Linked DNA regions of Arabidopsis thaliana. The protein of the gene in region 3 interacts with the protein of the main gene of each other region in a pairwise test. Each region holds a gene or a part of one and is shown on either strand. Other genes may lie near its edges. The genes, in order: PP2-B14, PFA-DSP2, CW7 and AT3G09980.

Region 1 (6,207 bases), 800 kb from region 3:
ATTACATAATATGAATAGGACTTATATTTATTGATTTTTTTTATTGCTATTTTTCTAATCCTTTCTTGACAATTTTGCTAATTACTCTTAATGTCTTAGTATCAACATTTATGAGAAATTCATTTCATGTTGAAAGAAACTGACATACATTGGTGATTGCCTTAAAGTTACAGAACAGTCAGTCATCTGCCCTATTTGACAAATTGTTTTGACTTTTCTTTGTTATTTCCGAAGGCAAACAAGGACGTTTAAACGCGTAGGTGTTTACATGTTATTTATTAGACCAAAAGATACCTCGTGTGTTTGTTGAGTTTTCGTTTTTACTTACAAAAAAGAGAAAGTGTGATCTATATAAAATGAAGAATATATCATATGTAGTCAACAAATCATGAATGCCAAACACTTAATTGATTTATTATATCCTCATCTACTGACCATAAGAATATATCATAGATTCATAGTTTGATACTATTTGAATAACGAACTTTTGCATCGTAAATGTTTCGAAAACTTGTTACCAACAATTTAACCAAAAACTTCGCACTACAAGAAAAAGAACACTTTCCGAAGTTAATATAATACAACACTTGCAAATATAATCGTATAACATGTAAACATATTAAAACTAGCTTTTCTGAGATTACTAACTTCAACATATTCATATGCATTATTTTCTGTCCTCAGTTAATATACATACAACATATTGGGTTCTCTCCATTGATGATTAAGCAAAATTTTCAAAAACATTATCAAAACTATCAAGTTTGTTTTTGGTCCATTGATTTCGTTGCTAGAAAACACGAACACTGACAAGGATATCTTTAGTTCAAGTCCATTTCGGAAGAGAGAATATAAGAGCTATATTCGAGCCCACAAAAATTAGGACCCTATTCCAAATTTAGCGATTATGACAAAAGAAAATTATTAGATATATGTTCCAGAGTTGGATACAAGAAATCTTTTTACTAAACTAAGAATAAGAGACTACAAGTTGTTGTTTTTTTTTTTTTTTGAATAGCTAACTAAATTACAAATTTTTGATATTTCTATATCATTAATTTTTTTCCTTATCACACTACTTGGAGTGAAAATGACAGATAACCTCCTAAGATGATTCAAGTTTGGCTGGATTGAAAGCTAAATGGAAGTACTTTCTACATCATGCTAATAAATTTTGTTCCCATTGGTTCAAATAAAAATTAAAGAAATAAATATATATATATATATATATATATATATATATATATATTTCTAATATCCAAAGTCTCATTCAATCGCATTCGATAAATTTTATACAAAAGACAATGCAAGGCTAATTAAGGGTGTGGAATTGAATATTTTAAGAATCCCTATCATCAACTTACCAAAAAAAAAGAATCCCTATCATCAACCATCACTATTACAAATATATAATTATATTGAACTAAAAAACTTCAAGAAGATTCATATGAAGATATTAAGATTTAAAAAACCGGAAAAAGATAGATGAAGATGAACCACACACAATAATTTTACTCCAAATATAAACAAAAATATATTAATTATGCAATATAATATATATATATACACATATATATTTATAATATTATATTATTTATATCGTTTAGATCGATAAATCCATATCATCAATTCTACTATGGAAGATAGTGTGATTTGCTCGAGCCGAACTCCTATGAAATGAAACTATATATAATAAATATATATATTAGTAACATTTGAGTTCACAGTATTGAATTTTCTTTCTTGTTGGACGGAAATCCAGATACATATATTGGCTTCACCATACCCTATTTAACATACTATAGTATTCTTGGTTATTTCCAAAAAGTGAAGATATTCTTGGTTACAGTTAATTGAACTAGTGTTGACAAATCATATGCTATTGACATTTGACCACGAATTAGCAACCGGTGGGCGCGTATTGGATAAACTAGCCCCTCCTTTTGGAAGTTTGACTCCTTGACCGTACACAACTTTTGTAACTGTATTTTATCCTAAGCAACACTTAATCATTTACTTGACTTTCTCATGAACCCACACGTGTAAAATAGCATACTCTATTTATTCCATAAAGAATTGTTGTAGATTTTTCACACATTACTTTTTTTTTAATTAATTCTATCATATATTATAGAAAAAGTTTCACTCAAATTTATGTATTTTTAGCTATCTATTAAAGAAATGAAACAACATTATAATATCCCTTACGTTTTATTGAAAAATATAAATCAATAAAAGCAAAAATAATTATTTAAAAATTATAGATTTAGAAAACAAGGAAATTTTTATATATATAGAAGTTATGTATGATCTATTTTTTTTTTTTTAGTAATTAAGTGCTGATTTGGGCTTTTACTATCCTACTAAACCACTTGATAAATGTAGCCGTCGAGTAGTTCACTAACCTGATTTTCTAATGGGTTTAAGGTATAATACCATTTCGACTAGCCAAATGAGAGATTTAGTAAACTTCGCGGTTGAGGAGAATCAATCCCTTACTCATACCTAGATGCTGACTCCTCCACATGTAGAAACCACTAAACTATTTCAGGTGATTTACTAAGAAATTTGGAACATGTCCTTCATAACTTGTAATTTGGAATAATTTGAGGGTATTCACTTACATTATGAACACACTTTTTCTCTGACATATCTTCTCTAACAGACAAATAATGGCAAATGGCATGAGCATCTAATATATAACTACATAATTCTCTACGTAAATATAACTCCAACTTGTATTATTATGTAACCGAAGATTACGTTAATAATAAAAAATTTAAATTGTTAATCAGTTTCGTGACACCCACTAAGATTGTACATTATTTTCAACGAGCCAAATAATTGAAACTTGAAAACTAAAACTTCTACTCTTTTCAACGTACACGATAATAAATGAACAAATGCAACCAATTTAGTAAAACACATTCACACAACCCCTGAGTTCCTCTCAATTTCATTTAACAATCCATAGCTTCCGTAGTCATCTTGATTATGTTTTAGGCCTCACTTCAATACCATCAATCAAAATGCCACCTTTTAGTTGATATCCTTTCACCTCTGTAAGAGTCATATTGACTTCATCATCTTCTCCTTCTCGTGTCTCAAACTCTCCTAACTCAATCTCCATCCATCCGTCATCTCTACATTTCGGCTCTCTCCTTTTCCCGTCCCCGCCAACCGCTTCCACAGTCATCGCCATTCGCTCTTCTCGGTTCCCGTAAAATAGCCGCTTCATTTGTTGTTTTTTCTCATCCAAGCAACATAGATAAGTTGCACTCTTACTAATTTGACCGTTTTTAGATTTAATCGAAGTCTCTGCCGGAACTAGGTCAAGTCCGTAGGCGCCTTTTGTTACTTTCACTATGAGATATGCTCCGTATCTTGTGTTTGCTGATAAAACTCTGGTTTGGATTTTACCCTCGATTTCTAAACGATCGGTTATTATAAGTTCAGCTGACTCCGAGAATCTGAAATTTTTAGAAATATATATATATATATATATATATATATATATATATATATCTATTGTTAATCATGGTAATAATTAAAAATTGTAAACATTTTCAGTAAATGTACACAAAGCATATTTAGATGTTTTAAGAAAAGAAAGAAAAACAACTGACCTAGAATCTGAGACATTGCTCCAAGACCAGTAAGATGCATGGTCACTATGTGTTATGGAAATATCTCTTGCTGATAAAACGTAGGAAATTTTTCCGGAAAATTTATTGATCTTGAACAGCTGAAATTGCATCATACACGGAAGATATTATTAGTTCAAGTAAATAAGAAAGATATCCATTTTTTTGTTCAAATTTAACTCATAGAAATCGAACCTTTCGAGCATTATCGATGAGAAGAGAGTCACATAAACATCGATAAATTTCTTTTTTGGAAGAAATATTCCAATGATGATCAGTAGATTGAGAGATGAGGCTTTTGTAATCCGATGGTAGAAACTTTTCCCATACGAAATCAGAGTCTCCGGCTAACCGGAAAACCGAAGAGACCTCTGACGACGAGAATGCATCCGCCGGAGATGTGAAGGCAAGGATGTTGGCTATGCATGCTTCTGGTAACATCATCATCTTCTTCTTCTTTTGCCGAGTAAAAACTTAATATATCTTTAATTGTTAGTATTATGAAACAGAAAGGTACTGAGTTCTTAGAATTTGAAGAATTTCGTTTTGTGAGTAAATATGATGCTTTGATTTTTTGTAGCTATGATAGATGAAGTATGCTTGGAGATAGAGATGGTGAGAATATATAGTGATGCTTGGGCATATTTCTGTTGACCATTTTAGACCAATGGTCAAATATTATGGATTTATATATTATTTATAGCTAGCTTCGAAGTAAAAGTGTTTGGTCGTTGGCCAAAAGTAAAAGATTGGCCTTCCAAAAGAGAAAGTTAACGCGGAAGAGCAAATAGTGTTGTCCTTCACTCATATTTCAAAAAGTCTCTAAACGATTTATTAAACGAAAAATTAACAAGATTATCAACGTACATATTGTTTTTTGCTAAAATATTTGTAAGTTGATAATTTGGTAAATTTTTCGTTTAATTAAATGTTTAAAGATTCTTTGAAAATAAGAACACGTTTATAGATTATTATTTTTACATACAGAAAACGTATAGAGACTTATGAGTAGTGTGACTAATTTTTGTTTTTTCGGTTTAAAAGTCTGTCTTTGAAAGCAATATCTTTTTTTCGGTTCAGTATTTCGAATCTCCGTTTAATTTTTAATCAGTTCAAAAGCAAACAAATTGTTTTAAATTAATGCTTAAGCCTTTGAGGACGATGTACCGTTAGATATACGACGAATATTGATTCTCATCCACTAGGAGTCTAGGACCACTATGATTTAATTTGTATATTTTGTGTAGTAATTTTAAAGACTTGAATGGATGGTATGAGGATGGAGTGGTGATACTTTAATCAGTAAAAAAGATCACCACATTAGATATATAACTTTGAGAGTAAAGCTTTCAAAATTGCTTAGGCGCTGGTATTTGCTGCAATTTTCTTTATAAATGTGCAATGAAGAAACTATAAGAGCAAGGAAAACTCTGAACAAGCGAAACAACAACAAGTACATTGAGTCCTATTGGCCAAGAGGCAAAAAGGTTGGTATTATTTAGCTAAAAAGTCATTTAGTGGCCAAGAGGCAAAAGGGTTGGTGACTTGTGTTATTTATTTTTGAATGCCTAAATTTGGGTCAAATTTTGGATGTTGATTAGGTTCGACACCAAACATCGAGTCCTTTGACATTGAAAGATCCTGTTTCTTTCTTTAAGAATTATTTATTGACTAGAAGTCGCTAATCATTAACATTGTTACAATATTAATTGACTTTACCTTTAAAACCACTAGTTGACTTTTCCAACATCTCTACTATAGCCGCCAAAACTCATGGACCATAGTAAACTAATATTAGGAGTTCATTATTTAGTTCTGAATCTAGTGGTAAGAAATCATTCGGTAGTTTCGATTGTTATAACATTTGTACAAAAAATATATGGTACAATAATGAATTAAATATACAACAAATATATACGAAACAATGTCTTCTTGACTTAAGAGAAAAGAGTAGAAGATTTCTCTATATTCAAGTATGTATTTGCAATTTTATAAATAAAAAAAAACGGAACTACTTGAGCTTATTTACCGTGGAAAGCCAACCGGTTTAACCGATTTACCAAACCGAACTCCTTCAGGTTAGCCAATTTCAAACAAATTCGTTTCAGAAAATTGCTCATATGAAAAAGCAGACCAAAACATATCCACCATCCTAAGATTCATCTACAAGTGAAAGACAAGGTAATAAAGGAACAAAATATGAAAATGTGGGTGGGTTATGTTACTTGGATAGCAACTGATAATTAGCCTCACTCAACCATATTGCTGTTGTCTTCTTCTTTTAGAAACTGCCTTAGGAGTTCGATTGTTTTCCGGTAGAGGTTCATATCGATCCCGTCCACATTTCTTCCTGTTCGAGCCTGCAAGATCGCCTAAAGAAATGGATATACTATGCATCAATTACCCGATTGATTAGCTATCAAAGACACTATTATGAGTTTGAAACTAAGTTCATCTTGAAATGGTTAGTTGGTTACTAACATATACTCATTGAACATTTACAACTTTGCCCGATTTCATGAAGAGAGAATGAAATCGATTTTATATGGACAAGTTTACTATC
Region 2 (7,597 bases), on a different chromosome or scaffold from region 3:
GTCCCTGTTCTGAAGGCTACTGCATCTCGGTTATGTGGGCCACTGTTCGATTGGGTTGAAACATGGGACATGGTATCCCGAATAAAGTACTTGGGAACGATGTTGTTTCTTCACAACTTCCAGAAAGCTGTCAAGTGGGCTCTGACTATGGCACGTGCTATGCAGTCATTTGTTTCTTTTTGCATAATGCCTCTGGTAAATCCTCTCTTAGACATTCTTGAATTGCTCCTACCGTTATGGAATTCGTTGGCGGAAACAGTGGCAAGCTTGGTTTCAGTGGTTTGGATAGTGATGGAGTCTGGTTGCAATCTTGTTGGTGATGTGGTAGAGTTGGTGCTTTTGCCCATCTCGCTAGTTTGGAACGTCAGTAAGTAATCAAACGTTTGCTTGAGCATTCCTTTTCTCATCTCTATATAATCATAATCCTGATATTTTTCTTCTTTTTGATGCTACAGCAAATACTGTTTTACTACCTCTATTCTGGATCATATGGGAAGTGGTATATGCACCGATCAGAGTGGTTGCTGCATTGGCCAATTGTTTAGCTGTTTCCTTCTCATACATATTCGATGTTATTGGAGATTTATGGAGGTATATGAGCAGTATACTTCAGCTTGCATCAGATTCTCAAGCAGCTGTGAAGACTTATGAAGTCTCCATGTGGCGTACACTTTGGAACGATCTCTTTTCTCATGTAAGTAAACAATGCCAAGTACAAGAGAAAAAAATCTGAATCCTTGCAACTTCAGTAATTACTAATTGTGTTTGTTTTGCTTCATATTTTCAGGTTTTTCGTGCTGTCAGGAGCATATTGAACGGTTTTGTAGCATTTTTTGCTGCCTGTAACAGACATCGGCTTAGGTATAAGTGTTTTCTTACACATGTTTTACAGTTTTCTATATGACCATTTCTGACATATATTTTTTGTGATTGATCTGGTTTCTGTTTGCAGTACATATAATCACATACAAGAGTTTATGGAGAGAGTACATGGACGAACCACGAGACCAGAATCTATAGACTCAAGACATGGCAAGTCTGTTAAGAACAATCAACGTACAGTAAGTTTTCTCTCAATGTTCTTCTCTTATGGGAATCAGTATTGTGTATTTGTGATTCTCATACTGGTTTTTGATCATTTTTCGCAGGGAGACGAAACGAGAAGGAAATTGCACCTTGCATAGAAGTCAAAACTTAAATTCTTTTGATTACTTTTTCTTGCCAGAGAATATGATAGGTTAGTGTATAGATAGATAGGTTTTACACCACGAAACATTGTCCCAACTCCCAACTCAGCCAAATGATGTATATAAGAAAGAAAGAAAACACACACTCACCACTCTTCTTGCAAATCTTCTAGTGGGTCTTCCTCTTCAGAATTGGTAAGTTTTCGATATAATAACAAAAAAAAAGAGAGAACATTTTTATGATTTTGTAAAGAATGTAATTATAACTTATGTATGGAAACGACTTTAGATAACAATGTGAGTTGGTTGATGAGGAAACCCAGTGAACAATTAACACACCAATGCACAATTGATACAATAGACATCCAAATTTTGTTTCACTTGCCAATGACATTTGGTAACCAAAATTAGAACTCGTTACTCGACTTTGATGTTTCTTCTAAACACCAAAAAATACCCTTTTAATTCTGATCAATTATTCACTATCACGGGATTGATCAGAAGAAGCTGAACAGACTGGTATTGTGACTCACGTTAACCTGATGTGGCCAGTGGCCTATCGGAAATGTTGAGAAGAATGAGTGGACTCGAGTTAACTCGGATGTGACTCATCAAGGAGATGTTTGGTCGTATATGTGTCATCGGTTTACCAAACCAGTTAGTCTTACTATTCAGTTTAGTATAGTGATTGCTTCACATTATTATCATGATGAGGATACTAATCCTGCAGTTGAATAAATTTCATATTAAACTAAACTGTTGTTTTATTTTGTTGCGTTAATTTATAAATTAATACATTATTAGATTACAAATGAATCAAAAGAAAAAGATATACAATATTCTTCTTCTTCCAATTATTATTGTTATTATTTGATTCAGAAAAAGAAAACAAAAACCAGAAGAATTTGATGATTCCTCAGGTAACTCATGATTTTTCTCCTCCTTTAATTTTGTTATTCAACTATGGAAAAAAGGGAATGACGGATTGGTCAAATCTTCTTTGATTGTCTCGTTTTTATTTTACCTATTGGAGCAAGAAAAAGACATTGGAGTGTGCTTCAAGCCTGATACATCGAATGACTCCAAGAACCTTTGATCCGAAACTCTAGCTTTAGCCGCTGCAAATCGCTTATACTCATCGAGTATCGATGTTATGCACCATTTCTGGAGTTTCCTCATGCACCCAACAAGACACCCGGTTCTGTGCTGCAATGATCATATATAAACCATTGTGTTGAGTCAATACAAAGAAAATGAAAATCATTTAAGGAGATTTATAGCTTTTGATATTTACTATTTTACATATACCTTGCCTCGTTTGCAATGAATCAAAAGTGGATGGTTCTTCTCATCTGAGGATTAACAAAGAAGACAGGATTAGAAGACTTGTATATATAACCAAAACATATGATTTTCTCTTAACTTTGTTTTAGGGCTTCTATGATTTTTACCGAGAAGGACTTTGAGTGCTTCACGGATTTTCTGATCTAGGATATCTACAAATGGCTCCTGCAAAAATGAGGATCACACTATCAGTGCCTTGGTAAGTCTTTAGTAACGCACAAGCCAGCAAAAAATATATCCAAATTATGATGAGATGTGTCGGCTATATTCATTCTTAGAGACCGAAATTGATCAGAAAACTAGATTGGTTTTGGCTGTTCCCTAGAGTACTGTAAAAGACCTGTGGAGTATATTCTATCTTCCTATTTTTAAAAGTTAAGCACAACAAAAAATAAACACAAGATCAAAGAGGGTCCATCAAAAGCAGCCAATAATGAAAATGATTTCATATGAAGACTAGAGACTAGAGAGTTGTCACACCCAACATAAAGAATCTTAGCCAATAAATAATATATGAATGTGGAATATCCAATACCCTTATAGTCTATTATAAGAAAAGAAAAAAAGCCACTTTACTTCATGTTTAGTCTAAAATCAAAAATTAACAAACTACATATCATATATACATGAAACAGAATTGACAACACAAGGCTTAGTTTGTGTGAGAGAGAGAATGATCACTACCACAATAGCAAATCAGCACAATTATATTTACTTTCAGTCTTCTCTTTCGAATATAAAGATGTTCTAAATCAAATCAAACTAGCCGCCCCATCACAAGTTGTACAAACTTGTTCAACTAAAAGTAAAATATGTTTGCTTGGCTTCTTATCTCTACTTTAATATCTAAAAAGTTACAGATTATACACTTGGAGATCAAGATAACTAGTTCACGACTCTAGTTTTTGGTTATTCCATGAAACGAAAAGTCATTTTATCCAAACAAGGGCCAATAAAACATAAGCAACAATAGGTAGGTAGGTATTTACACATCAGTAACTGACATTAAACTTAGCCATCTATCACTTTCACACTTAATTCCAGCTTGATTTATGTACTATACCTACCAGTTGATATGTGAATACTCTTACCATTAATACATCGACAAGTCACTATCCACAAAGTTTTCACCACCAAAAGTTAAGATACATAATATACCATTCATGCATCAAAGTGCACACAGAACTAATATGAACCAAGAAAACAGTATCAACATACACACAAAGAAAAGTAAAACTTTTGAGTAGTGGATCACTGACAATACTTGTATGCAAGAAATATTTTTGACGCAGCCCATTATCTAAAATATTATATATACACAGTAAGAGGACCAAGTGGTCTATTAGTTGAGGAAGGGCAAGCAAACAAACAGTGGGACCATAGAGTCAATGGTAACGGACAGAGCCAAGAAAAGCATCCTTCAATAAAGCATTAAAGAATGGTGTACACTTTTCTTGGGCGGTTCATATATAAAAAATATGGATAACTAGTCTATATCATAACATGCATAAGCAAATTACTACTCCTAAGGAAACATGAAACTAGAGATACACATGCATAATTAAAGAACAGTTAGGCAACATTAAGCAATTCAAAACTAGAACTCCAAATAGTATTCAGATTAATACCGAAGTTTTTGAATTTCCATTTGTATAAAAATCCTCTTTCTGATGCTTAGAACTCCAAATATGCAACCAAACCTCGTTCTCTAATCCGGGAAGACACTGCAAATTCAAGATATCCAAGAGATGTGAACTTTTAATTCTAATAATTCCTCCTAAAAAGTTGTGACAACAACTTCAAACCACAAAATCAGAATTACAGAGAACAAGGCAGTGATTGAGAAATGGATTTTTATAAACCAGAGGCCAAAAAAATTTAGCAAAATGGCACACACCTTGGACTTAGAGCCTTCAATGCCAAACTGAAAAAGACTAATTCCATTGGATTTGAGGAACTGCATGTTGTTCTCAGGATATGGCTCTGGACACAAAGATCTTCACACATTTCCCATACACAAACAAACCACAAAAACTTGATGTCAGAAGGAAAAAAAAACACACACAAAAACCTAAATCAACAAGTCCAACGTTTCCAATATAAGAGTCAATTGATCATAGTAGCTTTATACATGATTGAGCGAAGGCCAAGAGTCTTGATGAAGGAGAAGTTCGCCGAGTCCGGGAATCCAGACCGGAATATACCATTATCGACCATCGAAAAGTTCAACGGTGGAATTAGGTTAAGTTCATCACCGGGAACTTCTAGCAGTGCTGCAGTAGCAGCCGGCGGCGGCTGAGACACGTTGTTCCGGTCAACTTTAGCTACCTCGATGGTATGGAAAAGCTCACCACCGTCTTGCTTCTCCTCCTCCATAGTCCTAAACTGGTTCATGCTCATCGTCTTCTCAATCAGTTTCATTCTCTAGCTAAGAAAGAATCTAATGAAACTTATATTTGTTGGAGTGTAGGAATCTGAAGAGATCTTATCTTGTTTTTGTTTCTTGAAAGGTTATGGAGAAGTAATGGAGATGGTCGTTATGAATCGACGACCTTGCTTTATATAGACACGCCATGGTAGAGAGAGAAACCTATGTTGTCGCTGTTGGACTTTTAGAAGAGAAAGAACATAAAAAAAGAAAAAGAACATTTGGAGGAGATGAACGAGACTTGCGTTTTCAATCAACTTTTTTAAATTAAATTAATGCAACAATCTTTCTTTGTTTTCGTCAGAATATATAATGCACAATCTAAATTCGATTTTGTCGAAAATGACAATATAATAAAAATGACTCAGAGTGAAAGTGAAAATACGGCTTTATTAAATTGTAGGAATGCCATGGTGGGGGGTGGGATACACAAGAAGCTTATTGAGATACCACAAATATTTTCCACCCCAAAAGGAAAAATATTCAATTGGTGACAAAAATAAACTACTATAGAAGTTTTTATTTTAGAGCAATTATCTTACATATCGTGTTAATAAGATATATCTATATGATATGTGATTTATTACAATATCTATTGTTATAGTTAATTGTGTTGGTAAATACCGACAAAAAGCTAATATTGGTATATAATTTTATATATATATATATGTATATTAGAATTTAACTAGTCAACAAAATCAAATTGTTGTTTCTCGTTGTAGTAATTCCATCAACCGATCGAACAATTACTATAGATTTGTAATTTGTAAATCGATCGCTAAAAATTTAATGGGATTATTATAGATGTTCTATAGCAGTCCCGTGTTATAAACTATGCTATACTCCATATATGAAATTAGGAACGCTAACGCTTTCTCAAATTCTCTATATATTAATTGAGATATATTTTCAAAAAAGACTTATCTTCATGTATGATTAACAAAAATGTTATGTTCAGTTGTTCACATAACTCCTCAAACCATTTAAGCAACTAATGTTCTCCTACTATTTTTAGTAGTCCATCAATATATATTGTGAAAAACAAGAGTCAGGACTCAAGAGACATATAAAAGATTGTATGCCTGTACGGGCCTCTCATGAGCTCCGAACCAATACACATGCTGCAAAGTGTTCGACAAAAAAAATTTAGTTTTTTTTTTTCCGTCTATGTCTATATAACTGTTTTTTGAAAATGTAACGAGATTTTATGAAAAGAAAATACTAAAATAAACTAATGGAGAAATTGAAAAGGTACATTCTATGGAATATGCTTCAGATTAGGAAAGGTTTTGGGTCCCGAGCTGAGCTGGGCTCCACACCGTAAAGAGCTTCCGTATTAAGACTTAAGAATGTACAGTAAAACCCTAATTTTGTTTCATTGTTACTATTTTTTTTTACAAATCTTGGGAATATTTTTTTTTAACCGTACCAAGCAATTTTAGAGTTTTGATCTATAGACTGTTCCAACTTCCAACCAATATTAAAAATAGGTTCATACTTCTCTTTCGAAACAGAATTGAACGAGCATAAAAGGTTTTATCAACAAACAGAATTGAACGAGAACTGAAACTAATAACATCGATATAATACTCAGCAAATAAAAATGAATTTTGTAATGACACTTGAGCTAAACAAATGTTTGGGAACTAATGGCTAATTTTACCATTCCTTGCTAAGAATATTTTGAAAACTAACATTATTTATTGGTAAAATCAAAGATTGATCGATATAATTGTCAAAAAACAATTATCCTTATTTGGTAATCATTTGTACCGTTGATCTCGGTCTATCTCTCGTTCTCTCAATATTATCCCACCTCATATTTGATACCATCATTAGAATTTATATTGCCTTGTCTTGTTGATAATTAAAACTTCAATATTGGATCTCTTTACTTGATTCCATGACTAGTTTAATCAAGGAAAATTGAGTTCATGTATATTCTTATATACATGCTTAAAATTTGTTGTAATGTTGTTAACACCATGTCGTTACACTTGAGTAATGTTATTAGTAGATAGTGGATATTGTTCTTACACCCATTAAACTTACCATATGTCAGATACTTTATTAACGCATTTTCAACTTCGTTTAACGATTGCTTCAATATAAATTTAAAATATATAAATTTATCTGAATCATCACATGATTGCTAAAACTCAAACTACTTGTAAAAAGCAGTTTAAATACTATTTTATGAACCGTCCTTAATCATATAATTAACAGAAGCTAATTAATTAATGTCGAGCTACGCATACTTTAAACTTTCTACTTATTGGAAAACAACTTGGATAGTGAATGTCAGAATGTATACATAACTAGTAATTACCAACTCGATTACTAATTTGGTCAAATGAAAAGAGTTTTGGGTAAAAGAATATTATTATAAGTTTTGAATTATTGTTCCACTACTTAAGTGGCTTAACATAAGTAAGTGGGAATTTGATGAGAAACGATTCCTATCTCTCCAATTATTTTTCGGTTCTCAAGTTGGACACTGTGGAAGAAGTGGAGATGAGAAGCCGATCCAATCATTCCCACCTCTCTTCAAACCTAAAGGACAACAGACTAAAAATCATATCGTATAAAATATATTCTGTGTCTAAATATATTCTTTGTCTCCGCCCATGTGAATCGA
Region 3 (9,628 bases):
CCTCAAAATATATATTAGTTATTAGACCAATTTTGTGTAAGATTTCTTGGTATAGATACTCAGTAGGTTCAGAGTTCAAACCAATAAAATGCATCATTTTCATATACTTTTTTTTCAATGTGATAAAAAGAGGGCACGCACTTTATCCTTCTACTGCTAGAAACGATTCCAGATTCAAGCTCGCATATTAAGTACATGTAATTGACAAAAAAAATATCAGATAAAACTCTATACATAAAAGATTTTTTTTAAGTTTCTACACAACTTATTAAGTTAAGACTTAGGGGAGAAAATGGTGTGTAGGTCTTGACACAAGAGGAAGAAGATGAGAGCTTAGCTTAATGGCGAAGAATCTAACAAAAAGCATATTACGTCTTAGTTTATTTATTATGTGTTTGGATTTTCTTATCTTTTTAGTAAGATAAAGTAAACAATACAAGTGAAACTACAGCTGCATTCTCTTTATAGTATCATTATAATTTTGAATCATTTTTTTTTTAATTAAGTAGGGTAAATATATTCGTACGTATTTTCGTAAATCTTTACATGTTTTGAAAGAAAATTTATCCGTTAAAATTTATAATACTGTGACATATTGAAATATTTCTCCATTGGGGTATAAAACCAATCTTGCCTATTTTACTTTATTTTTTTGTTAAATTAAAAATTTAGATAATGGGTCATTTTTTTTTTGCCTACAATTATTTCCAGGGCAAAAGATGTTAAAGAACATACTATTCTTATATTTTGACCTTTGTAATCACGTTTCAAGAAAATCCAAAGTCCACTGTTTGTGACTTTTTGTGGCTTTTTGTAAGTGGACTAAAACATGCATTCACATTTTCACAACTTCTATAACCGACTCTCTATATATTAACATAATTCCTTTTTGTTATTAAAATAGAAGCATTAGTTTAACCTCAGATACAGAGTTTTGTCATCTAATTAGGAAATGTCTAACAACCGATCTATATTTTAACACAATTCCTTTTCTTAGAAAGCTATACACCTTAGTTTAACCTAAAACAGAGTTTTGTCATCTAATAAGAAATGTCTACCACCAAGAGTTGGATTCATGTGCTTCCTCCTTATTTGTCTACCCTAATTTCTTTTTATTCTTTAGCATTCCACATTCTCAAGTAAAGTCCAACAAAAGATGGCAAAAAGCTGTTTTATTTCACATGTTTAAATACCATATCTTCTATACTTTCTATGCAAGACATCTGTATCTCATAGGGATCGACCTAAAAACCGAACCAAACTGAATCAAAGATTTATCGATCCGAACCGAACTTAAGTTTTATATAAATAACCGGACCTTGATTAACTAACCGAAATTCATTCTGTTTGTCAAAGTATAGGCTGAGCGAGTCCACATTATACTAAACAAGAAGAGTAGCCAAAACATATAGACTTGATGATTGCAAATTCACAACTTTACTTTCATTTATTCCTTGAGGTAATAACAGTGGTTGTGGTAAACCACATAGTCGAGTAACATCACAAAAGGAATATTCAATCAAAGTACAAAAAAAAAAAACATTTAGACAAAACACACAAACTTCTGTTTCCTACGCTTCATTCCAGAGTGTGCTACTCCATGTTGACTGGTGGAGTTGCCTAAATAAAGACGATTAGTGGAATCGATCAGCAATATCGAAAAGATCTATTAGTGTCTATTGTTGACGACCGGTGTGGCTAAAGAGAAATCATTTGTTACCTTGAATAAAAGATCATGAGCAATAGTGTCCCATGGTAATGAAATGGACATTAAGCAGCATTTAAGAGGGAACATCTCGTCTTCATCATAAGAGGCAGTAGCAGCTGCTATTGCATGTTTAGCTGCGACAGATGCAACAGAGGCTGCTTTACGGAAAATGGATCCGAGATCGATGCTCTTCTTTGAAGACATAGGTGAAACAGGCCCTAAAACTACTTGGCTCTGATCTGAGAAAAGCAATTCTATACAATCATCCTTTAAACCATACTACGTCTTCAATATACATTTCAACAAGTCTCCTACTCTTAAATTTTGGCGATTGTACTTCTTAAATATTGCTGCTATTAAGACAATCCGACCTAAGACAATTGTTGGCTAGGGCATTCTCTATGTTTTTACTTTTTTTTTTTTATCTTCCATGGAATATTACTAACTGCACTGTAACACTCGAGAAAATAGGGAAACAAAACACTAACAGGAAAATAAAGAGCCATTCAAGCATAAGAAATGAAAAGTACCTACAACGCCAGAAACAGCTACTTCAACTTCTCCACGTCCTCCTGGGCCTCTCATATAAAGTCTGTCTGCTTTTCCTGTAATATGACCGAGAGATAGGAGACTTCCAAACCGATTCCTCCCCCCTGTAATAAAAGTTATTAGATGAAAAAACATAAAGCGTGAAAATATTAATTAGCCCAAATCAACGAAAGCGATCTCAGCCTATATAGACAAGGAAACAAGCAATAGGTTCCTTTAGGTCTTTTAGCTCTTAATATCTCAAAATTCCATGTCTACAAAAGTTAATTTTGTAGTCCAGCCATCTTGAGGTTGTCAGGTTGGGTACCGTTTCATATTCACACCTCCTTGATCTCTAAACGAACCATACTACTTCCAAAAATTTCGACTTTACTTTTTGAGTAAATGAGTAAAGGCATGAATATTAAGACTGCATGTTTCCCTGACATGAATAACCACTAATGAATTCTGTGTGCTATAGTGGAGTCAAGCTCGAGACCAAGTTCCGTACTATCATGGACCCTTAATATATACTTTCCATCAAATATTTTGGGAGAAATATGAAAGACCGAGATCGACAATGATAGTGCTAAGTACTAGAAGACTAAGGCAAGTAAACCATAACTACAAAAGTTGCTGGAGAATTGAACTAGGTTCTAAAACTGAATAAGAAATAGAAAAGAAACTGTAAAGTGACCTTCATAGGCTTCTCGAACCATCTGATAGCTGACAAACCCAGAAAACAGAGTAACCTGCAACCAAAAGCACCAGCATGTCAATTTCTTTCTCATTAGAAAGTCACGACCATGTAATGTGTCCATAGGCCTTTTGAAAACCATTGAGCTTGAAGTTAAATCATCTTTACAAAAATCACAAACAATACTTTAGTTAATTTGTTTAAGATCGACCGTTGCAAGCATCAGTGAAACTACCGACATATTCCTCTGTATGACATGGTTACAAGATATTTTCAAGCATTAACCACAAATTAAGGAATCTATTTGAAACTCATAGCAGGTGGCAAATGAATAATTGATAGATGATTGGCAGCAACTGCTGAAAATAGTGAAGCATAGGTGGGAAAAAACTAGACCTTAGGATCTTTCACAGTTCTAGGGTCAGCATTCGTATTAGAATCACTCGAATCTTTAACAGTTGCACTTGGAAAGGCTGCCCCATCGTGAGAATTAAGTAGTACGCAATAGCAATGATCTTTATCTGTCAGAACCTGAAAACATCAATGACAAAGCCAATGAACAAGGTTGGAAAAAAACTATGGTCAGTATAACAACTTCCATGCATGAAACCTAACCATACGACTTAAGTTATTTATAGGAATCATAAAGCCAAACTCCTCTACGCCTAAGCAAAACTAAAGAAGAAGACAGGCCAATCCTCTGAAGAAGATAATAAATAGCAGGTACTAAACTCAAATAAGGAGAGGATGTTAAAGCACCGCAAGAGGTAGTTGAAATAATATTATCTGGATCCTCCAGTCCTGTACCAAAAGCCAACAAACGTATCCTACAAAAGATTTTACTATCCAGTTAAGGAGAAACTAAGAATGCACGTAACTTCACCCTAGTGACAAAGGGGAGTTCATGCATATTTCCTCAACTAAAAACTATTCTTCCAGAGCCGATTTCATTATGAACAAAATGTCATAATTCCTTTGACATTCATGTTTAGAGTTTCTTTGAACGAAATGACTACATAATATAACAGTTGGAAGGACAATACAACAAAAAGGGAGAAGAAAATTTGTTACCACAGCATCAAAGGTTGAGTCAAAATCATCTACGGCAAAACAAATTTCTGGGTAGGCAGGTGTTGTTTCCACTTCCTAGGTAAACAACAATGGAAACATCAAACACAAATTCCAAAAGGACAAACATTGGTATGAGAAAAGCGACTATACTTGCCTTCTTTGAGTCCAGATGAAAATTAACACGACTAGGTGATGCATATACAGTTTTTACAACCTGCACAATATGAATGTCAGATTAGAGAACATGATTACTATTGACTTACAGAAAATGAAACCAAAGAAATATCCATATGCTTGGTCCAAGACTCATGTGAAAAGTCCTCTCCTTATGAAAACAAAACTGAATTCATATTCCGTTTCCTTACTCTTTTCTTAATAGGTTGATGATTAGAACAAAGCTGCACTGATATATTTTGAACAGCAGAGTATATAACTACTCTTTGGCTTCAGTTTCTTTTTCATATGAAAAGATTATAGAAGAGTTGAAAAGTCAAGAGTAATATTATCCAAAACTCTTAGGATCTCTAACCTTGTATATAGGAGATAGTTTTGTGTCTTTACTTCCTTGGTACGTCTTAAGGGCCTCATTACTAAAAACACAAGTAGTTCAAACAAAGTTACCATGATGCAGTCAAATGGAAAGACAAAAAGTCATATGATAAGTAGTATATAGACCAGAGAACATGTCATAAAAATGACTCAAGGCCTAATCACTGAAACTAAGAAGATGGTATCTGAGATTCCAACCTAATAAATAGCTAGACTGAAGTAATGATTGATGCAATAAGATGAGTTTGAACCCCAAACAGGAAAGAAGGATAGTAATATTAGCAATAACAGAACAAGAATTGACAACTGCTGTAAATTAGACAACATGAAATTAGTACAGGATGCCGCTAATCACAATCTGACTGAAACGGTTACCTGCAAATCGCAACAGTAACAGTGAACGATGTGTGGGCAATCATGTTCAAATAAAATGATTTCCTCCAATCAACTTCAGCCAGACTTTCACCAAGCAGCTCATCTAACTGCTTTACAAGTAAGAAAGAAATGCATTATCATATGTTTGTAGACAATACATACAAGGTGCAACACAACAAATAAATGGTTACTCGAAGTGTCTCTGTCCCATGGTCTAAATAAGATATGATGGATCGTGAAAAGCTTTAGCATGTAGGCCAGAAAAGACAATCCTTTACAATAAGCACGTAGTACTCTAGCTTACTTTAATCCCTCACCCGAAAAGAAGTAAAATTAATATTTCCATCACCTTCAGGGGAGTTGCAATCTAAGACCTTGTTAATATACAATTTTTACATCGCAGTTGAAATGTTACATGTCAAAACCAAACCTCATGTAGTGAGATCTAACTAGGTATCTGTATTATTTCGTACAGTTTTTTACCTTAGGTGCCCACCTGCGTACAAAGTAAGGAGCTGGTGCATCCTCATTTTCAGTCAAACCATATGACTTACAGCTCTGGCAAAAGCAACAAAACACTCAACAACATTAACAAGAAGGATGATAACAAAGTTCTAAGTTTTCGACTGAGAGAAAAAGGTCCAAGCTTTACATACCAATTTCCTGACAAAAAACAGAAGATCATCGTCTTGTCGCCTCCTCGACTCCATGCAACGAACAAAGTACACATCAAACACACCATGCCAGAAATTAGAGTCCATTTCTACATCAGACGCATCTTGCTCATCAAGAGACGTCTTTCCTAATGACTTTGAGTGCTTCTTCACCATACTCAGAATCTCATGTCTGAAAAAACATGAAGCAGACAACAAAATCAATTTAAGCAAGATCGAATCAAATAAATGCTGAATTACTACGAAATCTTAGTATTCGAATTAAGCAATTTCATGGTGGAATAACAAAATTCATCAAATAGAAAACTATCTCATTTCAATTTGAGCAGTGACTGGAACTAAGCACGAGATCAAACATAGAACAACAAAAGAATCTGACTTGTTTACCTAGAAGGAGTTACTTCGCCATCGTTGAGCATTTTTTCTACCCTCCGATGATTCTGCTAAAAACGTTGATTACGATCTCGTGATCGAATAGGGTTTTTCTCTCTCTATCTTTGACTCGTTCTTCAATTTTAATTTTTGCTGAATTCGATGCGAGTGAGAGATAGAAGAGAGCACAAATCTTCGATCTGATTTGCTTTAGCGTTGGCAAAATCTTGGCGTGTTGCGTCAATCGGAGCGGGGAAACCTCAATAACTGCCGATTTGCTACAGTGACAATTAAATCTTTTTTCTCTTTCATGGTTGTTAGCGGATAAATCCGTTTGTGGAGTAGATTATTTTTTATTTACCATTCATGAATTATAGTCCGTCTTAATATGCCCGAAAAAATTAAAAATATTTTACTACATACGGCTCTTACATAAAGATAAATTTGATGCGGATAAATCCGCCCCAAGAAATAGAGTTGCCTAGTCCGCTCCGCCGGCAACATCCATTCGAATACATTATATGGTTTGACTGGAAATGGTAGCATAGATGCAGAGATTATCTCAAGAATCCTCTATAAATAAACAATAATGAATATGTGGGTACATAACACTGCTAAGACTCTACTACGCTATTCAGCTCCAACTTACCAATAAGAATATGGAAGGCTGAAGATCTAATGTCCCTAACAACTCTAACAAGCTAATAGATCGATCCGATTAACTAGAATTGCTGGCTTAAACAAACCGGAGGGCCTCGAACAAAGCGGTTAAAGATGTGAAAGTAAACCGCAAGACAAACAGTGATTATCACTGAAGATTTGGCACCAACGTATCCAACTACTTGACGTCCTCTCTCTGTAACTTCTTCATGAATCACATCCAAACTCCTCTTAAAACTTTGTGACGTTTTCAAGATTACAAACTCAAGAATTGATCTCATCGTCTCTAGCGTCACTCTTCCCGTAACATCAAACATGAACTTCCTATTACTCGGCACTGCTAAAGTAGTCGAAAGCGCCTCTGCCCATCCGTTTTCTCGATTCTCCGACTTCCTCAAGGAGGAATCGGTTTTCTCTCCTGAAGATGTGAAGACATCATGAGAAGTTCTCATGAACGTCTCAAGAGCTCCATTACAAACCGAAACAAGAACATCTCGAGCACTATCTCGATGTTTCGGATTCGTCAAACCAGCGAATATCTGATCATAAGTATTAACACCAACCGTTTTATCGATATACACCGATACAGCTGAGCTAGTGAATCTCTCAATACAATCTGCTAAAAGCTCTCTACACTTATCATCACTAAGCAAATTCATCCATCTAGGTTTTAAAGAATCATCACTACCAATCTCAATCTCACCAGAGTAAAATCCAAGAACAAGATTCTTAGCAAAACTACCAACAACAACAGAAACAAAACCAGCTCCTTCCTCTGAGAAAACTCTATCAACTACACTCAAATTCGATTCTTTTTCGACGTTTGGATCGGAATTATACCCACGGAAAACACCAATCGCTACAGCTTCAGAAACCCTAGCTAGAGAATCAGTGAACTCTTTTGATTTGGTGATTTTCGATAGCTGTTTCAAGCTATTAGGGATTTCGTGGGAATTTGATTCGAGAAACTCTTTCAAATCTCGAGAAACGATACTTATCGTCTCCGCGGAATCGATGACCATTTCGGCGAATGAAACAATGCCTGAGAAGAGTTTCATAAGACGCTTCGTCTTCTTAGCGATGTATTGAGAATTGTAAACCCTGTAAACTCCGTAACCCGAAACACCGAAAACCGCTAATAGAATCAGCCATTTCCTTCTTCTCTGAGGTGAAATTGAACCTATGTCTCTCAATCGAACAAGGTCCATGAAAACTACAGCGAATTGAAGAGGGAGGGAGATCTAGGGATTGTAAAATTGGGGATGGGATTGTGAAATTGTTGAGTAGAAGAAGTGATGATTTTGAGTTACCAGATAGATTTGGATAGAGACATGAATGAAGGTAGAACCAAGAAGTGAGGAACTCAAGAGGCGAAAGAGAAACAAAGAACAAGTTGAAGAAGAAGAAGACAACAACAGACGAATCTTTTCGATGTTCGGTTGGTTTGATTTTAAAGTGACGATTGTTTTGGAATCTTTCCGGTTATGGCAAAACCAATTTTGCTGACCAAATATTACTAGGATATTTTTCCGTATTACCATATCAGTTACCTGAAATGACATATCTTCATTGCTGTAAAATAATTTCTGTTTGACATATCTTCATAAGAAAAGAAAAAATGTACACGAATGAGTATGTCATATGTGTGTTTGACGTTTTTTTAGTGGTTTTGCTTGCTGGGTTATGAAGTTATTTATTCTTGTTTAGAGAAATCGACTCTTATTGCGAAAGGAGGTGATTGATGTTATTTTTGGGTTGGTAGTGGACATTCTTGGTAAATCTCATCACATGTGCAATAGAAGAAGAAGTTTATTTGCTTTTTTGGTCTATGGTTTTTCTTAGGGTTTAAACATGTTTGCTTTTTTCTTAGTTAAAGGTTTCAGCCTCCTTTGATCTTGGTTTGATAACTTTTGCTTTGTATTTATACCGTCTTTAGTTTCCCTTCCATATAGTTTAGATTCCAGAAAAAACTCATCTTTCTACGACAAATTTTATGAAACTTTCATTTTGTCCGCCGGTTTTAGTTTATTTTGTTTAGGTGTTGTATTTTTTTCTAGTTCCACATTAAGAATTATTAATCTGGGAAGGTTGGCAGCGTTACCATTGTCGATCGACAGTTGTCTTTTCATCTTTCTCTCGTATTTGATTGGCCTTAGTCTTAGCTTAGTGGTAGATTCTGAGGGAACTTTTGTGTAGCGTTCCACACAGACGACGCCAAATTGTACGGATTAAATTTAACATCTTAGATAACCAGAGGAATAAAAAATGAAACAACACGGATGCAAAATATTTTTCTTTTTTGATTCCAAGAACACAAGCACGCAAATACAAAGATATTATTCTTCCGTTAAACTCAAGTTAGGGTTTTTCCTTGTGTTTGACAAAAAAAAAAAAAAAGTTCTTCCTTGTAAGTACTTTCCTAAGGTTCCCGAGTGTTCCATTGTGGATCTCGTCCTTCTAGGTCGTGGAATGTATCCTCTTTCCATATCTTTACTTCAAGATCTTCCTTTTTTATCTCCCGGATATATTCTACAATTTTTTCGTATATTCAAAGTAATCCTTCTAGTAGGCCGAGCTTGATCTCTTCTTCTCATGATGATAGGCCTTTCGCTTAGAAATAGGGGGTCTCCCCTAATTGTACCTAGGCCCGATAAACCATTTTTGAGGATTCAGTTTATTCCTAGTTCGAGGATACACATATAGATGTTGCATAATACAATAAAACATACAAAAATAGACGATGCATACATAATTACTAGATGATGTTTTCTTTTATTTAACTAGCAATATAGAAGTAGTTTTTAATGGGCTCTCTAAGCTCATTCCAACTCTTATTTAGTATGATATTGTCTTCTTTGGGCTTATATGCTCAAGCCCGCAAGGATTTGTTATTGGCTTCCTTCCCAAAAGGCCTCATACTAGTTGGAATTGGACTTAGCTTATATATTAAAAACTCTTTTTCTAAATTTCCGATGTGAGACCTTTGGTTTGTAC
Region 4 (6,713 bases), on a different chromosome or scaffold from region 3:
CTTTTTTTTTTTGTCAAATAACTTTATTTAGTTTCAGTTTCTAAGTTTATATGGTTATTCAAAATTTCAAACCAAAAAATGAAAAGAAACTTAATCGTAAACCGGATTGTCTCATCCCTACATTTAGTAGAACTAAACTGGATTTTCTTACGTATGATGGTTAAAACACCTATATTTGAATGCAGGACGAGGAAGCCTTAAGATATGATCATCGGCTAAACAAAGGAGACTTGATGTTACTGTACTCAGATCTTGCGGTTACCTTGTTCTTAGTGTATCTACTGACGTTTAGCATTTTCCCTGGATTTCTATCGGAGGATACGGGAAAATACAGTTTAGGCGACTGGTAAGACCAAAATGCTAATTTACTCATGACTATTTTTGGAAAATTGATAGCTAAGAAAAAACGGTTTAAAACAGGTATGCACTAGTGTTGATAGCAGTGTTCAACGTGTCGGATTTGGTTGGGAGATACGTTCCCATGGTCAAGAAGTTGAAGATGAAGTCGAGGAAATGTCTCTTGATAACGTCATTGGGACGTCTCTTGTTGATTCCAGCTTTCAACATCACAGGCATATATGGAAGCCAAGGCTGGATGATTTTCTTGATGTCCGTTTTGGGATTAAGCAATGGATATTTGACTGTTTGTGTCATAACATCAGCCCCATATGATTTATTGGTATTTCAAATTCTCCCTTTATTTATTTATTTTAACTTTTTCGTGAAGACGATATTAGTTTAGAAATGATGAAAACTGGTTTTAGGCACCGGAGCAAAATGCACTAGGAAACTTGTTGGTGTTATATATTTGTGGAGGGATGTTTGCAGGAGTCGCTTGTGATTGGCTTTGGTTAGTTGGTAAAGATTGGTAAGTAGTGTTGCCTATTGTTTGACCAGATAAATGTAACTTCTAAAGATCTCGAAAGATAAGTAGAGACCAAAATATGCACCTTTCATTTTAATCATGTAAGACATTTGTCTCTTTCAATAAAGTCCATCTTGACATTATCTTTTGATAAGTCATCTTTTTAGTACAACTCCGTCTTATATCAACGTTTTTAAATTTCACATATTTCATGAGCTAACATATGTCTATTCCGCATTCCATAAGAGAGAAGCAAAAGTGTTTTTCTTAATAGAAACAGCTAGTAGTATTAAAAAAAAATTATTTTTCAACTTGTAGTATTAATACTACAAAAAATATTATTAAGACAAATTGTAGTATTAATACTATATAGTCTACTATATTATTCTTAGAAAAAATGTGGTGGACGATGATGATAAAGAGTGAGTGATGTTGCATACCTCATCAAAGCAACATGAGTCTTTAATTTAAGCATGCGATTTTAAAATATATAATCAAATTTTGTTTACAAGTCTCAAAAAAATTAAAAAAACAAATAATAATAATATATAATACCATAAAACATGGGATACATATTTGGAGTGGATTTGGAATTTTATGCCACATGAATAATCATTATATCAGGAGATGCTAATCAAATGAAAATAAAGGCTGCACAAAACAATAAAGGAATTTTTTTTGTTTCTTTTACGATGATATCTATGTCTCCCATTGCAATAGCCACATCATCATTGATTATTTGATCATTAATGTCTTATTATTGCACCCTCCATCAAATAATGAACAAAACGTCTGGTTTATAATTATAGTATGGTTTATATAATTTTCTCATTAATCATATGATTTATATTTGATATTAATATCAGATAAATGGTTACATGTCAAAATGTTGAGGACATATTTAATGATAAACAAATAAAGGTTTGCCTTCTGGATATTATTTTTATGAATTTCCTTCCTCATGAAACAATCATTTTTCTCTAACGGTCATTTTGGAATAAAACCAAATTCGGAAAAGGTCGACATATAGATCACATCTGATCTCGTGATGCCATCTTTTTTAACTTAACCTACCGATCGATCGCACAAGTTACACAATGTTCTATTAATCTTTATAGCTTTCCCAGCGCACATGATATAAACAAATTTCCACTTTTCTTAATACCTAACATTTTGTACATTATGCTACAAATGTCAGAACAATAGTTTTAAAGAGAGATAAGTAAAAAATCAATTGAAAGGACAATAAAGAGAGAAAGATAGTTCAGAGAAAAGAAGAAGAAGCGTTTAGTTACAAACCTGTCTTGATGAGTATTTTTTGAAGTTACTTCCTAAAAAAACCACATTACACTTATAAATTCTCCAAGAACCCCTAACAAAGATAATAATTGTAGTAGTAATATAACACACGACGATTATAAAATATAAATTACATTCACCACCACCAAACCTAAACGTAGAGTTAAAACACTCAGAGAATGATCTCTGGCCCAAGAAGTTCTTGTACTGTCTTGGATTCAAAGTCAGTGTATAGAATCTATGTTCTTGCTTAGCTCTTCCAGCTTCTTCATTCTCATCTTTTCGCTTTCTCCCACCAACTGCGAATCATTCGAATCGGAAACCGTTAAGTCAAGAACGCAATTCAAGTTAAGAACACATAACAAAATGAATATATTCGACACAGATCAGAGTGGACTGGTTTGATGAATATGTTCAGTTTACAGACAAATTATGTTAGAAAATGGCAAGAACGATCGATGTAACTCATACAAAAAGAAGACACTTAGATAGAGTTTGAAGGAACTGATTCCGCTAACTATGGAGATGACTCACACATAGCTTTAAGCAAACACACAGACCGGTCCAAGAACTCAACATCAAAATCTACTAAACACTGAATCCGCAAGATCACAAATATGCCTAAAACTATCGGTGTTTGATGCATGTCTCTCAGAACAGAGCTACAAGACAATAATTAGCTTAATGTGTTTATCCACACAAGCAAGGGTAATGTGAAAAAATAAAGGACAACACAACCAAAAATCAGAGAGAAGCAGTACAATAACTAGACCAGTTAACTCAATCATTCAAACTCAACGAAAAGAGACTTGAGCATTTGTTGACTAACCTCCATTAGCCTGGTGATTAGCTGCACCTTCTCCCTGTTCTTTTCGTTGAATGCTTCAAGAGCTTCTTTGTACTCTCGTTCCTGCAAGTTGCGTAAATAAACCAGCTTAGCATCTGAATCCTCAACAAAACATATTTTAAACACAGGTCAATGGATTTGATTATGTTTTAGCCTTACCTTTTTCTGAACTGTATGGCCCAATGGCTTTAATTCTTTGTTGACAGAATCAATCTTCTTCCTAACCATAGCAACTTCTTTCCTCATGGGATCAGCTAATCCTTCAAGTTCCTGAAATGCAGTTTAACCACTGAGCTTCTTAGTCATCAACATAACATCACCCAGGAAAAGCAAATTGTTCTTTTCATAGAAAGGAAAGAGCTTTGATCCACAGAGCTAATCTCTATCAAGTAGTGCTATAAATGTAGAAACTTTCACTGTTCTGCCCATAAATTGAGGGGAAAAAGTACTAAAACCAGAGACTAAGACCAGATTCATAAACTTTAACATCACCCAGAAGAAGCAAATGGTTCTTTTCACAAAAAACTTAATCCAAATAGCTTATTTTTAGCAAATCCAGGTTTACTTGCTATTGATCATTTAAAATCCTAAAACAAACACAAAAGCCCCAAAATTTTCTCCCCAAATGGCATAAACCACACAAAAACCAAAGGAAAATTATAAAAGAATTTGTTCAATGCAATTGTCAGATCTTGAAATTTCCAACAGTTGGGTCCTACAATTTCCCCTTAAACATGAATTAAATCCACATTCTATACAATATAAAAACCCCAAATGTTCAATTTCACATCCCAATCCAAAAAATTTCCATAACAAAAACCAAAATTGAAGCACAATTCTCCAAAAAAAAAACAATCTTTTTTTTATATATGAAATAACCAATATAGATACATACCTCACGGATCAAAGCAAGACGCTTAGTCTCTTCTTCGACACGACCAAGCTGAGCTTGAACCCTTTCCCTAATCTCCATCTTCTTCTTCTCGATCTCTTCTTCTTTCGCTCTAAACGCAGATAACGCAGTTCTAGACATCTCCTCATCTTCCTTCGACATTTGGCTGCTGAAACTCATACTTCCCGACAACTGAGCTCCCAATTGTCGGCTATGCACCGCCGGAGCCACCGTCGTCGGCTGCGACGTCTCTATTGCCTGCATCTCCTTCATCTTCACTGAAATCTCCTCTCTTTGACTCTCTCGTTACTGATCTCTCTCTCTCTCTCTCTCTCTCTCTCTGGGTCTAGATTCTTCTGTGGTAGAGAAAATAGCTAACTGAGCTTTCTTTTTGAAACCCAGAAATAGTGCTCTGATATGAACATTTATATAAAGATAATTACACATTTTCCAGAAACAAAAATATATTAAATGCTATTTTATTCGTATAACGGGAACTTTTTAATAATAATTAAAATATATTGAAACGTATATTAAAAAGAGATAACAGGCAAAAAAAAAAAGGTTATTAGGTGAAATTACCTAACTGCCACCAACAACCGATAAAAAGATACAGTGAGGGTTTTAAAGAAAAAATCAAAAATAAAAAGTAGGAATAAAGGGAAGAGAATCTGATTATTGTAACCGTTGGATCTTTTTATTATCTGATGAAGGAAGCAAAACGGGTGACCCGTAGAATCCGGTGACAGCTCGTTAACAACTCAGCTGTCCCGTCTAAACCGTCAATTCCGAACCAAACTTAACCGGTAATTTAATTCTGGTTTTCCATTGGTCCATTAACATTTACCAATCGTCGTGATTTTTTTTTCTCTCTCTTTAATGACTTGAATTAGGTATTCCATTGCTGAGCATACACACTATTGAGTTATTTTTCATTTATTAGAACCACATTACATAATTGTTGACAAAGAAAGAAACTATGGTCCACGGTTATATAACTTATATTGAAGAAAATTGAGAAAATGAGAATAATAAAATGATCTTCTAATAATAAATATACTATGAGAATATATATCCCAATATTCTTTACTAGTATAAATTTTAAAGTATTATACTAATTGTGATCCAACAGAAAAATAATAATAAGAGAGGTAAATCTTATAGGTTTTTCGACGTGTATCCGATAAAAGTGGTCAAACTTAATTTACTTTGGTAAATTTAGAGGTACTCAAGTAAGCGTTTTGCTAATGAATTTGTTATTCTCTTTCGATAAAAGAAAGTTATCAATAGAAAAAAGAGAGAGGAGAAACGTAAAAACGAAGGTAAAGAGCAGTAGCCCACTCAGCCAACGGCTTCAACTACGGGCCTTCGAAGCAAGAATATTTCTTTTTTTTCTTCACTTTTTTTTTTTCCTTTTCTCTCTTAATGGAATTTACTTTTATTTCAATGTAGTATACTATAAATTATTCCTCTAAGCTAGCCATCATATCAACTCGATGTATAACTAGTCACATTGTTTTAATGGTGGGGTATAAATCTTGTCCTCATTAGCCATTTTGAAATTTTGTTTGTCCCACAAATTAGTATATACAAAACTATACTTACTTAGTAGATCTTTTTTCAATTAATGGATGAGCTTTGGCAAGCTAAGGTTTTGTTGTTTTAATTAGCTAGGGTTAGAAAGATAGATTACCTACTAATCGACATAAAACCAATATATTGTTTTACAAGTCTCTAATGTCTTGTATGTAGTCTAATAATCAAAAACAGATTTCAAGTGTGAGTTAGTATTATACGGTTTGGTTGATTGAGCTCGACCTGAATTTTTTTTATTTGTGATCAAACTGAGCTAAGGTCCGTTAACTTCCTTAAGGAATAAACTTGTTCGAAGCAAAGCCAAATCGTAGAGATTAGAATGTACGGTGGGGATTGAGCCGATCAAAGACATAGAAAGAGGGTGATCCTTCCTTACTCGACGTGTGCTTCTCTGCCACAAAGGACCCACTAAACCGGTGTTTGTGTTATCGCGTGCACCAGATTATCATTTGGAGCCCATACTTTTTCTTTAATTATTCTTTTATGGATCCCAACTTGTCCTTGTTTTCTAAGTAAATTATATTAAAATTATGTAACATTCTGAATATCTACAACGGAATAAGTGTAACTGATGATGTGTTTATCTAACAACTTAAACCAGATTTTTTGTAAGTTAAATGATCGCAAAATGGTTAGTTTTTAATGTTCAAATAAGAAACAAAACTTAAATCGAATAGTGTGTTGAAAGCGTTTGCCACCAATCGAATACGTCTTCCATGCTTCACCGTTTAAACTTTACTTTCTATTAAGAAATTTTGCACAAAATTTTATTGATTCTCTTAATAATATAACTCTTAATTGTGATGATTATGAACGTGATTGAGGAAGAGGATATCGACTTTATACCTAATTGCCAGCATCAGCACTTACTTAGGATTTAATGGTCTCATGAAAAATGATTTGCTGTCTCTCATCAAACCTCATATTTTCCATTAAATCAATGATATGTCGTATGTATGTCTCCCTCTCCAATGTCCATGCCAGATAATTTTATTACGAATATATTATAGTTAATGGTAATTATTACGGAATCTTTGTACTTTATGACGCAAAAAATTTCAGAAATAAAAAGTTGAAAACGTTTCCCATTGTTCTGCGATCATTCGAACCTTAAATGTATACACTCCCTATTAAACAAGAGTCTGCCCAAGCAATATTATTATTTTTGACTAAAAGGACCCATCAATTTATTACCATAACATTTATGTACTTAG

Evidence for each region.
Region 1: the proteins of CW7 (region 3) and PP2-B14 interact in a two-hybrid assay, tested with the Arabidopsis thaliana proteins (one large-scale study listed by BioGRID).
Region 2: the proteins of CW7 (region 3) and PFA-DSP2 interact in a two-hybrid assay, tested with the Arabidopsis thaliana proteins (one large-scale study listed by BioGRID).
Region 4: the proteins of CW7 (region 3) and AT3G09980 interact in a two-hybrid assay, tested with the Arabidopsis thaliana proteins (one large-scale study listed by BioGRID).

Annotation. Positions count from the first base shown.
Region 1 is NC_003070.9:21,058,754-21,064,960, forward strand, and holds PP2-B14 (phloem protein 2-B14), read right to left. Parts: upstream 4,295-6,207; 5' UTR 4,092-4,294; coding exon 3,840-4,091; intron 3,746-3,839; coding exon 3,627-3,745; intron 3,471-3,626; coding exon 2,993-3,470; 3' UTR 2,769-2,992; downstream 1-2,768. Other genes in the region: MDO1 (telomere-capping, CST complex subunit), read right to left, coding at 5,894-6,016. UniProt on the Arabidopsis thaliana protein: Component of SCF(VBF) E3 ubiquitin ligase complexes, which mediate the ubiquitination and subsequent proteasomal degradation of target proteins such as VIP1 and Agrobacterium virE2, after their implication in T-DNA translocation to the host nucleus (can functionally replace Agrobacterium VirF).
Region 2 is NC_003071.7:13,985,331-13,992,927, reverse strand, and holds PFA-DSP2 (Phosphotyrosine protein phosphatases superfamily protein), read right to left. Parts: upstream 5,260-7,597; 5' UTR 4,953-5,259; coding exon 4,663-4,952; intron 4,529-4,662; coding exon 4,429-4,528; intron 4,256-4,428; coding exon 4,160-4,255; intron 2,697-4,159; coding exon 2,639-2,696; intron 2,540-2,638; coding exon 2,496-2,539; intron 2,394-2,495; coding exon 2,208-2,393; 3' UTR 1,934-2,207; downstream 1-1,933. Other genes in the region: AT2G32970 (G1/S-specific cyclin-E protein), read left to right, coding at 1-367, 456-694, 788-861, 953-1,061, 1,149-1,184.
Region 3 is NC_003070.9:21,857,982-21,867,609, reverse strand, and holds CW7 (CW7), read right to left. Parts: upstream 6,329-9,628; 5' UTR 6,022-6,328; coding exon 5,990-6,021; intron 5,775-5,989; coding exon 5,585-5,774; intron 5,487-5,584; coding exon 5,412-5,486; intron 5,036-5,411; coding exon 4,929-5,035; intron 4,595-4,928; coding exon 4,534-4,594; intron 4,219-4,533; coding exon 4,159-4,218; coding exon of another isoform or gene 4,155-4,158; intron 4,080-4,154; coding exon 4,005-4,079; intron 3,465-4,004; coding exon 3,330-3,464; intron 2,989-3,329; coding exon 2,934-2,988; intron 2,362-2,933; coding exon 2,239-2,361; coding exon of another isoform or gene 2,192-2,238; exon of another isoform or gene 1,948-2,191; coding exon 1,670-1,947; 3' UTR 1,621-1,669; coding exon of another isoform or gene 1,594-1,620; 3' UTR 1,400-1,593; downstream 1-1,399. Other genes in the region: CF9 (Carbohydrate-binding protein), read right to left, coding at 6,697-7,842.
Region 4 is NC_003074.8:3,066,821-3,073,533, reverse strand, and holds AT3G09980 (ankyrin repeat 30A-like protein (DUF662)), read right to left. Parts: upstream 4,445-6,713; 5' UTR 4,177-4,444; coding exon 3,907-4,176; intron 3,282-3,906; coding exon 3,171-3,281; intron 3,075-3,170; coding exon 2,994-3,074; intron 2,464-2,993; coding exon 2,389-2,463; 3' UTR 2,003-2,388; downstream 1-2,002. Other genes in the region: AT3G09990 (Nucleoside transporter family protein), read left to right, coding at 186-346, 421-679, 765-872.